Linked DNA regions of Mytilus edulis. The protein of the gene in region 1 binds, or shares a complex with, the protein of each later gene. Links are inferred from orthologs where the notes say so. Each region holds a gene or a part of one and is shown on either strand. Other genes may lie near its edges. The genes, in order: nuclear RNA export factor 1-like and NTF2-related export protein 2-like.

What was found.
Region 2: the proteins of nuclear RNA export factor 1-like (region 1) and NTF2-related export protein 2-like are in contact, whole or in part, in a crystal structure (PDB 6IHJ), measured with the Drosophila melanogaster proteins. The link is inferred for Mytilus edulis from reciprocal best matches to the Drosophila melanogaster genes sbr and Nxt1. Residues at the interface, in NP_524660.1 of Drosophila melanogaster: Leu359, Leu360, Glu361, Thr362, Lys363, Ala364, Ser365, Tyr366, Met404, Leu405, Ser406, Ile407, Ser408, Met409, Pro410, Gln414, Arg426, Asn427, Leu428, Arg429, Arg438, Thr439, Leu442, Tyr444, Thr467, Val468, Asp469, Thr471, Ile472, Met477; in NP_611833.1 of Drosophila melanogaster: Met1, Leu5, Val9, Glu10, Ala13, Asp17, Arg21, Thr43, Ser45, Trp46, Asn47, Gly48, Asn49, Gly50, Ile52, Tyr60, Leu64, Leu71, Asn72, Thr73, Leu74, Asp75, Ala76, Gln77, Pro78, Ile79, Val80, Asp81, Leu91, Met93.

The regions. Positions count from the first base shown.
Region 1 is NC_092346.1:23,919,210-23,927,206, reverse strand, and holds the start of nuclear RNA export factor 1-like, read right to left. Parts: upstream 3,098-7,997; 5' UTR 2,987-3,097; coding exon 2,935-2,986; intron 1,034-2,934; coding exon 908-1,033; intron 1-907. UniProt on the Drosophila melanogaster protein: Mediates the export of the majority of mRNAs from the nucleus to the cytoplasm. In ovarian follicle cells, plays a role in transposable element silencing regulation by enabling the nuclear export of flamenco (flam) transcripts and subsequent piRNA biogenesis.
Region 2 is NC_092351.1:84,636,249-84,644,248, forward strand, and holds the start of NTF2-related export protein 2-like, read right to left. Parts: upstream 3,007-8,000; 5' UTR 2,926-3,006; coding exon 2,902-2,925; intron 1,118-2,901; coding exon 1,031-1,117; intron 1-1,030. Other genes in the region: malate synthase-like, read left to right, coding at 5,039-5,164, 6,629-6,760.

The DNA.
Region 1 (7,997 bases):
CAGATGCCCCACTCGCACTATCATTTTCTATGTTCAGTAGACCGTGAAATTGGGGTCAAAATTCTTATTTGTCATTAAAATTAGAAAGATCATATCATAAGGAACATGTGTTTTAAATTGTTATTTGGATGGAGAGTTGTCTCATTGGCACTCACACCACATCTTCCTATATCTATGTGTACTAAGGCCGAGAAAAAAAAGACCTGTGTTTCCGGTAACCCGACCGACCCTGTTTTTTAGCCCCGACCCTAACTTTTTTATTGGATCTTCCAAAAAAAAAAAAAAAAATTTATCAACCGACCCTGTTTTTGACACAGGCTTCTGATAGATGACATAATATTTTTTCTCTCTTGCTTCCTCTTGCATAGAAAGCCAGTAAAACATTTTATTAATGTCAAAAGGTATTCCAAATAGGTTAAAATCCAAGAAATTTGCACAACAGGTGCTTCAAAAACATTGCAAATGGCACACTTCCGGTTTTTGAAACTAATTACGGATCTGGACTTGGAAAAACCATGATAATTTTCCGGATTTCATTTACGATGTCAAAAAAAAAAAAAAAACAAAAAAAAAAAAAGAATTCCGACCTACCGACCCTATTTTTTAAAATGATGTTATCGGAAACACATATCTTTTTTTTTAAGGCCTAAGTTTCAAGTTGATTGGACTTCAACTTCATCAAAAACTACCTTGACCAAAAGCTTTAACCTGAAGCAGGACCAATTGACATACAGACCAGAAAACATAATGCCCCTCTACTATCGTAGGTGGGGCATACAAATAATCAAAACAAACTTGAAATCATAATTAGAAGTCTTGATACATGTACATAAGGGTAACAAATCTTATAAAACTTCATTCTTGGAATATTAAAATTTCACCAATGTTAAAATTAAAGACAACATACCACCTCTGTTGTAACCACTTCCTCTATTAAAGCCCCCATAATTCTTCCTTCCACCTCGTTTTCCAAAAGATCTTTGTCCACCACCATGACCTCCTCTGCCATTGTCTGTCCATCGGTCATCGTGGTCTAAATAACAAAATATCAAAGTTATATCAGAAGTCCCACTTCCAGCCTCCATTGCTTTGAGTACATTCTATTCAGCATAGTGTTGTCTAGGACCGAATATCAAATACCCAAAAATGCTAACCAGTTAAATGGATTTTTTTTCAATTTTAATAGATTTGATATAAACATGATAAAATATATCAAATATTATGTAGACCTACATCTGAATGTTCTCGACATAACCCCCGGTTTATCGGATTGTTAAGGTACGCAAACACGACCGTGCATTTGAATGACAGTTTCCTAAAAACACTAGCTGAGTCTTGTTATCATCATAACTTTCCCTCAGCTATCAAAAAGAAGATGAAAACATGCTTTTATTCATTTTACCGGACATTAACTTGATAAATCCTGAGCAATTCCAGAAAGAATATGACAACATGACAAACGCTAATTGGATAAATGCCAAGAAGATTGAAATGTTTTCATAAACATGTGTACCATTTGAGCAACGGAAAATTCCAACAGGCACTACTTGATGCACAACGCTCTATTTTTAGAACGAAAGGATATTTCAAATTATAAATATTATAAAAATAGATTTACGCAGACGACTGTAATCAGCTCAGGGTAAATAACGCATACGAAAACGAATAAAAGTGTGAAGAACTCAAGGTTTTCGCATATAATTGGGTTTTCCTTTGGATGAATTGGGTTTAAGAACTATATCTACATCATACGACAATCCATCAGCACATTGATAACTATATTATCCCCTGCAATGGGCAATTGCATTGGTTTTTAATTATTTGTATTGCGTGATCACGCAAATACGCAGCTTATCTGGAGCTCTGGGGTAAATTATTTTTATTCTAATAGACGCTGGCACTACATTTCACATCTTCGCTAGCCAAGGGTTACGATCCACTCCAGAGAGCGAGAGTGGATCGTAACCCTTGGCTAGCGAAGATGTACATTTCACTACTGAGTACTTTAATTAAGTTAAAGGCCCTTTACACTCTACATGGATGACTACACTTCATGATACCTTTTACATATAACGTGACGGTACCCAAATTGCACCTATTTTGACAGTTTTTTCATCTACGTTTTTTTATCATGAAAACAAAAATGTCCATTCTGTGTTTATTTTGTAGCCCTATCTTTCTTTATTATAAAGGTACACCAATTTGATTTTTATTCCATATGGAATCATAGAAAAATTGGTCTAAACTGACCTCCAAACCATCAATGATTCTGAAATGAGGAGTACCCAAATTGCTTCCATGCTTTAATTCACATAGTCAAAAGTCTAATAACAGAGCTTTTGTTTAATTTCTTTAAATATTTTGAACAATTGGACATTAGTCCAAGCTTACTCTTCATTATTTTTTAAATGGATACTTGTAACATATTGTATTTGTTCATTTTAAAAAGATGACGTTTTGATGACGCGACGTTTCAGTACATTTTGCTTTTTCAGTAAATACTTCATCTGTTGATAGATACTGTGAACGTTTTGTGCATATCTAAATAGTTTTACCTATGTTGAAAGATGTGCTTAGTATCAAATCATAAAAAAAACAAATTGTTTAGTCTCTAGAAAATCTTGTAAGATTTTCGCTGCTAGTTTTGCTAAAATTATTATAGGTGCAATTTGGGTACTCGGTGCAATTTGGGTACCGTTACGTTATACATATAAAGTCCCCGATATGGACACAGTCTATAAGTTAACATATTTAATCGAAATATATAATAATGTCCCTAACCATAAGCATAACCCAAACCACAGGCCACTAAACAAGCCCCTGTGCCCAAACAATGTTTTCTGAAAATATGTGCACAAATTCTTTTAACCGTGTATAATTATAAAACCATTGGCCTTGAAAGTCAAAGATATTTAGCTAGATAATAATAAAAACCTCCAAATACACGTCTGCCATCACGACTTGTGGTAACTTTAAACTGGCTCATAATTAATCTGTTTCAGTTTCTTTTTTAGCAGTCCTAGGAAAAAATTGCCGTATGGTTAGAAAATGTGCTTGCTGTTTACGTCATTGATTGATGCGTAGAATCAATAAACTTGACGCAATGACGGATTTAATTCCGTATCTTAAATATTTTAGAAAAAACTCCATATTTAAAAACATACTTGGGGTTCATGGAAAGTCTTCCAATCTAGCAGTTCGATGCGAAATGGTCACATTACCCATAAGCATTAAATGTTATCAACTTGTGTATAAATACTATGTGCGTCTCAGTGATATTGGTGAAAGGTCTGGTGAAATTCTCAAGGCTGCTTTTGAAGTGGACAAAACTCTCACAAAAAGAGAAAATTCATGGTCTAATATATTTATATCCGAATTATTAAAATATATTTGAAAAGTCCTATGTCTGAAAAAGAACTAAAATCTAATTGTATGTACATTAATGAAGCTCTTAATTTGAGAAACCACCATACTGTTTCATCAGAAAATAATAATTATCCTTTATAGTAGTTTATGCATTTACACATTTATCTTTTATAGGTGATCAGTGGCGGATCCAAGGGGGGGGGTCCGGGGGTGCGCACCCCCCCTTTATTTTTGCCGATCAATGCATTTGTATCAGGACATATGTTTTGCACCCCCCCCCCCTTTGCCCTGGGTGCCCTAGGTTAGCACCCCCCCTTTCGAAAATTCCTGCATCCGCCCCTGGTGATTGTGTGATTATTAAAGTAAAATTATGAAAATTTTGAATAATCGGGATGTGTATGGTATCAATATCAGTTTAAAATGTAATGGTATTCATATAATATACTTAGAATGTTATGGTACCCATAGAATTTACTTAAATTACAACTTGTTGTTACATGCATCTATATTTCATTTATATGTTGTTTTAATAATGCTATTGTCTGTATTTGGATCACGCCTCTATTGTGCTCTTTCCAATAAATATTGAATTGAAATGGAAAATATTTCATTAATGGTTATATACTAGTAATTTTTGAGGCCCTTTATAGCTGCTGTTTGGTGTGAGTCAAGGCTCCATGTTGAAGGCCGTACCTTGACCTATAATGATTTACTTTTATAAATTGTTACTTGGATGGAGAGTTGTCTCATTTGCACTCATACCACATCTTCCTATATCTTAGATCATTTAGAACGCAGAAATATACGTTACAAATAAACAATACAATAGTACATGCTAAAAGTTATCAAAGTTACCAGACTTATAATTTAATGCACCAAACGTGCGTTTCGTCTACATGATAAGACTCAGCAGTGACGCTCAGATAAAAAAAAGTAATAAAGCCAAATAAGTGAATAAAACTCATCGGAAGATACAAGCTAAGGCTAACATTACAAAATTTCACCATAAGGAGACAAGTGTACAGCGGATGACATTGAGATGTTATTCCGAAGTTATGCTGAAGGTTTTTTTCTGATGAAGACTGTCATGTCTAACGCCTTAACTTTATATGTTTCTCTTTGATCAAAGATTTTTAATCGCCTTGAGTCGTTCATCGTCCATAACGCTATGGCACTTAAGGGTCACAAGTTTGATTTGCGATGATGGAATGCAAAGGTAAAGTAAAGTATTTCCCCGGCATAATGATCTTTTATATCGGCTATCATGTATTTTTTAAATATCTAAAAGAAATATAAGCAGTTTTATGTCAAGACAAACATATTCTTTATCTTTAACATTTTTGATTTTTTGATTTACAACATTGCTTAAAAGAACGACGGAAAACAAATGCAAATCCCTAGTTAGATTTTGAAATATGGAGCAATCTGCATAATTATGACCAGCTATAAATTGTAAAAAGAAGGGCGGCGCGTTTTATCAATAATGACTACAAATCAAGAGATGATGGATGCATCACAAAAATGACAGGTAAATAATTATCTACAGGGTGGTTGATGGTCAGGTATCATTGATGCCGACTTCTACATTATCCAAAACTAAAAGATGCCAAAACAAACCCCCAAAAAATCCAAGACTAAATTGTGGAAAGATGTTAAATCCCGCATCAACACAAACAGTAAAGATCCATCAAACCACCAATTTAAAAGCTCATGTTTCATCAGAACTGCTGTCGACTAGCTGGAACAATCTTTTATATAGCAATGTGACTGCAGTCAAGTCAACCAAAAGCTTCAAGCAATATATATATAGCTGCACTCAGGACTCATGATTTGCGGTATCCGCACCCCTAAGTAATAAAGCCCATGCATACCCATACTTTACCCATACAGATACAGATTCCCATTCCGATGTTCTTCGCTTGAAAGAAAGGTATGACATGAGGGGACGATCAATTCATTTTACCAGGGGGTGAGGATTTTGAAAATAACTTGTTAGAACTGAAAATAAATAGTTTTGCACAACTTTAGATATGATGAAAATAAATATTGTGCAACACAAAATACAGGCGTATACAAAAGCCGCTGGAAAAATAAGCATTATATGCATGTAGCAACAGATGAATGTAAAGACCAATCTAGAAAAATCCTACTCCCCAGAATGTCAGATACTCCTCTCAGTTTGCAGAGTTTTGATTCATGGGTGACATTCCATTGCTATATTGTATTCGGAAAAAATGAAATTGTTTGTACGTTCTAGCGTACTAATTAAATGATCCCATTGAAACGGTAATTATTCCGAAGATTATATCCAGATATAGATGATATTAGTACTGGGAAGATGATAAGCAGCTTTTATAAGATAAAATGTTGTTGTGAAAAAAAGGCGTTATATATTACTACGGTCTGACAATCATTCGAGAATACAACATTCCACTTTAGTAATAGTTGGCAAGGAGGTTGCATCTCAACGGTACTGAAATATAATGGTACCATGTACTAAAACATGTATAGTGTTCTGAATTTGATCATGCAAACATATCTTTTAATTTGCGAAGTACTACACCATGGTATTTTGATACGTTTCGTCATCAAGTGATTAGATTTTTTATGCATGAACTTTTTTAATGGTTTACAGTAATATGAGTTTAGATGCAAACTTCGCCTTGTATCCAACTCATAATGCTGTCTTTCTGAGTTTATGATTCTGGTCGGTATTCAAATTCAAATTTAGCATCATCCAGTAAAAATGTCGAAGCATTTTCTCAAGGCAATTTTTTTTTTAACAAGGATTGAAATGAAGGTAATGTTACGATGCATAATATGTGTTATTATTTTAAAAAAGATATTTAGAATAGCGTCCACAATTCAGAAATTACTAATAAGCACGTTAATATCATTATATTTGATTCATACTCTTTTTGTCATACTCTATCTGAGTATTCTAAATACCTTTTCTTTAAAAGGAAAGTAGAGGTGCGACACTGCTTCCAGAGTAATATAAGGTTTATTGTTATCAGATAAGACTTTCACTAGAGGAAATAAAATGAAATCATACAGACATTCTATCATATGGGTTTTGTTCATTGTTGAACGCCGTAATGTTACCTATAGTTTAATTGTTATCTATGTGTCATTTGGTCTCTTGTGTAGAGTTTTTTCACAGTGGCAATCTTACTATATCTTGTTTTTTATGTTCTATCAACAATTTTGTTACATAGTATATAATTAAAAGCAATACTTAAACAACCAACCATCAATCAGCTAAGGGCAAACGATACAGTTACCAGGGGGGGGGGGGGGGGGGGGGGGGATGACGTTGCTAACGTAAATTGTTATTTTCGAGACGTCAAACTATGACTTATCGAGAAAAGATTTAGTTTTCGACTGATTTTTATCATTCAATCTTATCTAACTTGTAAACGAGTTCTTGGACGCCTCTTTTTTAAAATGCCATTTGGTTTGATTACGTAAGAAGATTATGTGTGCCAATTTTCATGTAAACGTAAATAGTGCATTTTTTTTTAAATTTGATAAATATGCAGCCAAAGTAGACGTTTTTTTCTACATTCGTGAACATTTAATAAATATGAGTTATTTGAAAAACAAATTGCACAAAATTAAAGGACATTTATATAAAACAGAATTTACAAATGATTTAACAAAAAACAGCTTGTGTTTATCCTTTAAAACTAAAAGGTTATGTATTTCTGTCGAAAGGATAAATACGTCCACAAATCCGAATATAAAATTTGGACCTTATTTTACTCAAAAAGTAATACATGAAGGTATACATTTTTTTTTATTACATATTTGATTTAATCAGGCAAAAAATAGCCTATATGCAAATGTTCATCAAAATTTCAATATGGAATCAAAACTGTATCGTATGCTCTTACGGTCGTCGTTGTTAACATTTAAAAACAATATGTCAAAATGGTAAAAACTCTGACTTGTGTATAATTTGTTTATTTCAGTCTAGCAACTCTTTAGGTTATAGTCTCATATTATTGTTCAACTTCAATTTATCCATGAAGCCCTTTCCTTTGTTTAATGTCACGATCATGTCGCGTAAAAGAATTATAGATAATTCATTAAACTTCTTTTGGTTTAAAGTGAACGTCTATGAAAACTATCTTCTAGTTCTCAATGTTTTATTAATTTTTAAAGAACAACAAAATACAACATACAAATCGTTCAGTAAATATACAACCCCACACTCACTGAGTCACGGTAAAGTTGATTTTTTTTTTGGGGGGGGGGGGGGTAATTTTGCACGTTAAGATATATATGAAAGAAAGCCTTTTTTGTTGTTGTCTTAAAAAACATTTTACTTGAGTATTGAGTCAGTATGACAATGATTGCAAAATGTCAACAAAGTAAAGTTATTAAATTATGTGACCGGGTGTCTTTACAGTAAATACAGTCAAACTCCAAATTTGGAAATTTGTATGACATAAGTTGAAAAAATTCCTAGATAGTCAGACTGAGCTATTGATAACAGATGTCTTAACAGAGGTTGCCATAGTAACACAATTATACCATATTAACTGAAGTCGTAATAGTTTGATCGTCAAAGATTCACACTTATACTAGTTGTTATATGTAACACATGCCTACATATTTCCACTATT
Region 2 (8,000 bases), on another chromosome or scaffold:
AAACCACTTCAGAGGCATGAAAGTGTTGTTCTATTTCTTTATTAGAACTTCTCTTACAACTTGACCATGTTGCTTGATATTAAGTTCAATCCAATTGAGTGCACTGTATAAAGCAGGGTTCAAAATTGATGCTGGTCCGGTGATACTGAGACCAGTAGAATTTGCGTCAGACCAGTAGGTTTTATTAGCTGGTGGTCTGTGGGACCAGTAGAAATTTGCCGATTACATCATTGATTGCATTGCTATCTCGATTTGTTTACAAAAACATTTACCTGCGAAATCATTTACCCGGACTGGGGGTTCTAATTATTACAATTGATAAAGCTAATTAATATCTTGGGTGCAAGTACTTCACAGCAACATAAAATGTGGAAATTTCTGGAAGGAGTTAAACCGTCGGACACAAAATAAAAATAAGTGACATGCAAAAGGAAGATCAGATTTTTTTTATAAAATTGACAAAAAGGAAACAAATATAAAAAATCCTGTGAGAAAGATCGTGAATAGTTAAATTATATTGTCGATTGCAATGTAATAAATTGTATAACATGTGACAAATTTGCAGTGACAGACCTAATTAAGAAATGTATTTTTGCAACAGGATCTTCAAATTTTAAGTTAAATCCATGTCAACGCTCGTGAACAATCAGAACAGCACAAAGAATCTACAGGAATAAAGGAGAGGAAAGCACACAAGAAACCAAAGGCAGGGAAAATCACATGAATCATTCAAATTCAAATCAAATCATTTTAAATTTGCGTTTCTCAAATGAAATTCATTTTTGCAGGACCAGTAGAGTTGGAGCCGGACTAGGAGATTTATTTTTGTCCACTACACAAAATAGCTTAAATTAGACTCCTGTAAAGTGACACACTTCTTAAACACAGATAATATTTTTATTGGAATGTTGTTTATAATGGTTAAATTTAACAAAATGTGACTTGGATGGAGAGTTTTTACATTGGCACTCATACCACATCTTCCTACATACATATATATTAGGTTACCAGTACACAACATGGTACATACATGTCTTTTCTTGTCTGTGGTTTCATAATACAGTTTGGAGAACTGCTCCCCTGCTTCTGCTGCTTGATCTACTTTGGTGCTGAGCTCCTAAATAAATACAACAATACATTATGTAAATTATTACAATTACTGTAATCTAAAAAGAACAATTCACTTCACAAGGTATTTTTTCATGATGGCAAAATCTCTGACAGTGCAAAAACAATGATAAGCTGTGGCCCTTTTTGTGGGGAAAATTTGGTTGATTAAATAGGAAATCACTGAAGCTTGAATGGAGCTGTCCCCCACCCCCTTTATGAGAAGTTAACCGCCATTGGTCTTTGAGAGAAGCTCTACTGTGATCGATAGTCGAGTTTGACATATTTATACACTGTTAATGCTAAGATTTCAAACGCCTGTGAACTTAAAACCAGAGATATAAATACATGTGGTATATATGTCTCTAGTTTAAACCCATTAATATGAGGCAGGCATTACCTGTAAATGGGGACGAAGTCTGTATGAATTATTTTTTTGTAACTTAAATATTTGTTTAAAAAAAAAAAAAACAGAAATACCGTAACGTTTCCGATTTTGGTTCTGTTGTTAGGGATTTAGTTGTGACGTTATTTAAATTATGACGTCATATGCAATGTAAACAAAGAAACGCTATCATCAGGTAACGTTTTTTCATATCAAGGAATTATTAAAAATGAAATTGGTATTGCGTGTTCCTTCCTATTTTATACTAGACTGATAAATATATATTTTACTCAAAGTTTCATACAAACGAGACCGGAAAAAGGAAGTACATTGTACATTTCTGCGCAGGTCCGGGATTTCAAAACACGACAAAAAAAATTTGAACGATTTTGAGTTCATTAGTACAATGAAAAATTCGGGAAATTTTCCCGTATTTTTTTTTTTATTGAATTTTCTACTGTTATTGGGGACTCCGTCCCCATATAATTATTGAAAGGACAGCATGAATTAGTCAATTTATATGTATTTTATAACAGAATGCAAGTTCTTATTATTACGGTACTAAAGTGAGGGTGGTAATGGGGGTACCTTCATGTTGAATAATGGTAAAAATTCTTGCCAAATGACGTAAATGGTAATTTTTGGTGTATGACAATAAAATGTACACTTTCTTTTAGACGATAAAACTTCAACTGATTTTGACGAATCAATTTTTTTTTCTTTCCAAAAATGAAAGTAACGATAATTATTTGAGACCTCTGAAGAATCATGATAAGGATATTTTGATGAATCACCGTAAAATTTTAACCAATTTGAGGCTAACGGTAGCTGAAATGACTGTTTGATGTTCAAGGGCATTACAACCCTCATAAAGTAGACGCATTATTCACATTATTCTGAACCTCACTTAAATAAGACGTACGTTAATAAATTTCGGAATTTATAGTAATCTATATAGTTTGATGTCTGAGACTACTATAAAATTATAGTAGTCTCAGATCATGTTGATTATCAATATCATATTGATCATGGTGTTAATTTTTCAGCACACAATTTCCAAATCAGGCAAATGTTACAATGTACATGATGTATAATTTATAAATGTTGTCAGACCAGACAACTCTCCACAAGAGACCAAAATGACACAGCAATTAACAACTATAGGTCACCGTACGGCTTTCAATTTTATTTTTTATTGAATGGGGAAGAGGTGGGTGTGGGTCAGCATTGTTTCAGTGCAACCCTCCCCTATCTGAAGTATTGAAAAAATTGCATGTACCCCCATTGAGACAAAAAATAATCTATTTCATGTTTGAGAGATATTGAAACTGAAAATTTATAGGTTAAAAACCTTTACATAAATTTAAATTAATATAACAGCTATAACATGCTATAGGAATAAATATTACAGTATCAGACAGTGAAGATGTCATGCCTCCTCTGTTGTAAAATTTCCGGGATTGACTCTAAAATTAATATTTTGTCTTTTGTGTACCAGTTGCGTAGCTGCAGGGTACCAGTTAAGAACTGAAGAGATTTTTTTCACAGGGCCTTGACACTTTGATAGGTAAATTTGTGTATTTTAAATCCCATGCTCTCCGAAATGACAATAAAAACTGCATCCTGGTGATTTATTGACTTGTTCTGACAGCATGCATTACACTGTCATTCAGTCATTCACTCAGAGCATTTCTTTTCGTTGTCCCAAAGACAAAAAATTATATGACATGGGGGTCATTGCCGAACTGCCAGTGTCACTGATCAAGCTTTACATGCAAATTCAGTTATTTTCCATTAATTAATTCAAATGAAATTATTTTCAGTTTTGACACTTTGCAAATCCCTTACAATGAATTGGTTATATACTTACTGTATAATAGCTGCAAAACCAATGTTAGCTCAAATAACATGTCTAATGTACTGATTTTTTACTCTTGTGGACTATTTATGGTCCGTAAATTGTCCAGAAAAATATATCATCTTAAGGACTTAACTGTATATTTGTAATGCATTGAAGGTTTAAGTCATTTGAATTAAGACCCCTTGCCTGTAGTTATTTTTTTCCAACATTTGATCCCTAAAAACTTGAATCTACTATTTTCATGATTTTACAAAAGGTGTTTTTTTAACAAAAAAAAGGTAGTAAAGCTCACAGCACAAGGGTTCTAGGACACAATTATTCTTGTTTGTATTGTTTTCAAAATTTCATATCGGGCCTTTTATAGTTGACTATACAGTATGGGATTTTTTTCGTTGTTGAAGGCTGCATGTAGCATGTACGTACAGTGGCCTATAATTGCTTTCATCCACTTCATGTAAACTCTTGTGGATACTCTGATAGTCATGATAGTTATTCTATTGGCAATCATACTACATCTACTTCTTTTTGTTGAGCCTAGGTCTTTAGTTGCAGAAAGCTCGACATAGGGATAGTGATGCGGCGGCGGCATTAGCTAACTTCTTAAAAGCTTTATATTTTAGAAGGTGGAAGACTTGGATGCTTCATACTTTGTATATGGATGCCTCATGTTACGAAGTTTCCGTCAGTCACTTGTCTTATGTCCTTGACCTCATTTTCATGGTTCAGTGACTACTTGGAGAAAAAAGTTAAATATTTTTTGTAATGTTAAATTCTCTCTTATTACATGTATAAGTAATAGGCTAACTGTATTTGGTATGTGTGTACCTTGCAAGGTCCTCATGCCCGTCAGACAGTTTTCACTTGACATCGACCACATTTCATGGATCAGTGAACAAAATGGTGAACAAGGTTAAGTTTTTCGTGGTCAAGTCCATATCTCAGATACTATAAGCAATAGGTCTAGTATATTCATTGTATGGAAGGACTGTAAGGTGTACATGTCCAACTGGCAGGTGTCATCTTACCTTGACCTCAATTTCATGGCTTTGTAGTTATAGTTAAGTTTTTGTCTTTTGGTCTGTTTTTCTTATACCATGTATACTGTATGCAATAGGTCTTCTATGTTTAGTGTATGGAATGATTGTAAGGTGTACAAGTCTAGCTGGCAGGTGTCATCTGACCTTGACCTCATTTTCATGGTTCAGTGGTCAAAGTTAAGTTTTTGAGTTTTGGTCTTTTTTTCTGATACTGTATATGCAATAGGTTAACTATATTTGGTGTATGGAAATATTTTATGATTTATATGTTGGCATGGTCAGTCACGCAGGTTTATTTGAGCTTGACCTTATTTTTACAGTTCATTGCACACTGATAATTGTTTTGTGTTTTGGACTGTTTTTTTTTAAACTATATTTGTTGTCTGGAAGAATTGTTAGCTGAACATGCCTGCCTGGCATGATTCATCTGACCTTGACCTCATTTTCATGGTTCATTGGTCAATGTTTAATTTTCTTTGTTAATGTTAAGTTACTGTGACAGTTATAGTAAAGCTTTATATTTAGGACTAACAACATAATATCAATGATTAGTAAAGAAGGTGAGACATTTCAGCACGTGCACTCTTGTTATATAAAAATTATTTGTTTTTATTGTTTCTTCATTAGGAAATGGTTTAAAAATCAGAAATGGACAGACTGAAAATAATAAAGAATCATTTATTGGTGAAAGGGAGAGAACCCTGTATTACTACAAAGATTTGTAGTTTTGATTCATCTCAGGATTGCTTACATTTGAAGAGTGGACTTCAGAAGGTAAAATATTCGTACTTCTCATTCATGTGTCATTAGACAGATTTTAGACAATTGCCATTCGGTCATTTGTCTGATATTAATGATGTTAGACAGTTTCTGAATTTTATCATGTTTATGACTCGTAGAAATCCTTTAAATTTTAGTAATGTTTTTCCATAGAAAATGTCCCACTTATCATCTTACACCAGATACCTTGTTGGCCAAGTCAGTGGTACTACTTGTGGAAGTATTTTTTATTTACTTAAAGAAGTAAAAAAAAATATACACATATAAGTTAATTATAATGTTTGAATAATCTCTCCTTAATTTTCTCAAAAATTCACTTGTATAAGTAAATTTTTCTTACAATCCCCAAAAAAACCTCAAGTTTTCAGATTTAAAATCATGCCTTTAATGATTTTTCCTAGGTTACCGGTAGCTCATAATTTTTTATTAGAGTTCAATGTTTCATCTCATTAATTCAACAAAGAAACTGACTGACTTACTGAGAAATAACTCTCAATTGATACTTCAATAAATCATTTGTGTATACAACAATGGGATTGCAAACCAACAATACAATTTACAAAAGACATCACAATGGCTGACGAGGAATCAGGAGAATCATCTTAGAATTCTGCACAGAGAAAATTAACAAAACATTAGTATGATCATTTTCAAAGAAATTTTCTTTTGATAAGACTATGTTTGACATGCTTGATTACTTATTGGGTATTTAATTAAGATATTCAAGAGAAGTGAAAAACATTATGGATGTTCTAAATTTGTTAAGTTGGTACTAAACAATATAGGGAGATAACTCTGTAAATTCAGCTGAACGTTTTAATCATATTCTATTGTAACATGTTTTACAGTTTAGGAATTATTAAGCTTCTCAATCAACAAAATTAGTGTTTGTTAAACTGCTATATATATTATATCCAACAAAATTTTTCCAACCAAGTGTGTGGTTCAAGTTTTTGAAACTTTTATATTATTGTCAAAGGGACATAATAAATAATTTGCTAAAACTTTATGAAAATTAAACAAGCCAAATTAATGTTAACCAAGGCGTTTGGTACATTTTGTACCATCATAACAAGACTTTAAAAGGTCATATACTGTAAATTCAGAAATTATTGTGTGCAATTAGTATTTTAAGGTGGTACCCAACACTTTCACTAAAATTAATTTGGCTCGTTTAATTTTCATAAAATTTTGACAAAGTATTTACCTTGACCCTTTGACAAAAATATAAAAAAATCAAAAAAATTGAACCAACCATTTAATCAGAAAAATTACACTGGTTATATTGCAGTTTGACAAACACTTATTTTGATCATTGAGAAGCTTAATATTCCCTTAAGAACACAATGTCATTAAAACGTTCTGATAATTGAGTTATCTCCCTGTAGTGTTAGGTACCACCTTAAGAAGTAATGATATAGTATTGATGTAACCTGACTATTTGTATTTAAATTGTAGCTAGGTCTAACCAATATAGAAGTTAGTAGTCCCCCTGTGAACTATGAACACTATTACAGAACGCTACTCACACCAGAGGCTGTAAAGTTTGTAGCAGACCTGGTGAATACATTCGACAATGATGTTGAAGGGGTAAATACTTGCAAAATTAGAAAAGAAAAAACCAAACAGAGATGAAAAAAAAACATAGAACTAGAAATATGACCAAGTTTAGAATGGAATAATATACTTTTAGTTTTAGTAATCAATTTAAAACTTGTTTGATCTAGTGAAAATATGATTTGGTTCATGATAAATGTAATTATTACATTGGTTGCAATGAATTTCATTGATTTACCAGTGAAATAAAAAACGATAATTTCACATGTGCAATAAACATGGTTATTTCACTCCTCTGACTTAATACAACAATAGGCGTTGTCAAGACTTTGATAATGTCTGATCAAAACAAATTGGGAATGTGTAGAAAAAGGTATAGGTCCTTACATTTTCTAGTTTAATTTCATAAAAAAGCCATTTGCCAATGTAATAAAAAGAATAACTAATCAAAGAATTCAAATATCGAAAAATACTCAACTCGTGACCGAACAACACTGATTATAACTCATGCGCTGGACGCATTCGTGAATCAATGTGTTGTTTGGTCACTTGTTGAATATTTTTCTCTATTTGAATTCTTCGATTAGTTATTCTATAATTAATATAAATTCCTGATGAAGTTGTACGTACATTTTAAGATAATTCCAATTAAACATATATGACTTGCCTTATAAATAAATGCATTTTACATTGCATATTGAAAGCAATCTTTACCCATCAGTGCTCAAAAGCTATTTGGTTAACTATATTGAATATACAGAGATGGTTGAGTAAAACAAATTGTCAAAGATATGGCCAGAAGGATAACAAATTAACAATATATTAAAGAAAAATTTACAATTATGAACAATTATTAAATGCCTTCGAATGACGAATCTACGACAAACTAACTTCAGATTGTGATCGTTTGGGAAATATTGAAATTCAAATGCGAACTGTCCGGGTTGTCATGGTTGTTACATTTTTGATTAAATGACGAAATTATACTCCTTGTTGTTGAAATGCCGACTGATTTTCCTGGGGAAATAATTATGATGGTCATTCAATTATGGGGTTAATTAATAAATTACGGATAAGTGACCCATCTGATGGCGATAAGCGGATTAGTTGTAATCACAACTTGTAACACCTGTTGAAAATGTTAATTACCTGGAGGTCATAAACTTGTCAAAAACATGAAGACAGGTAGATTTATAGTTTTTATTGCGATTTTTTTTTTACACTTTCAAAATTAAAGTGACGAAATTGATTTGAAATACTTTCGTCAATGAGA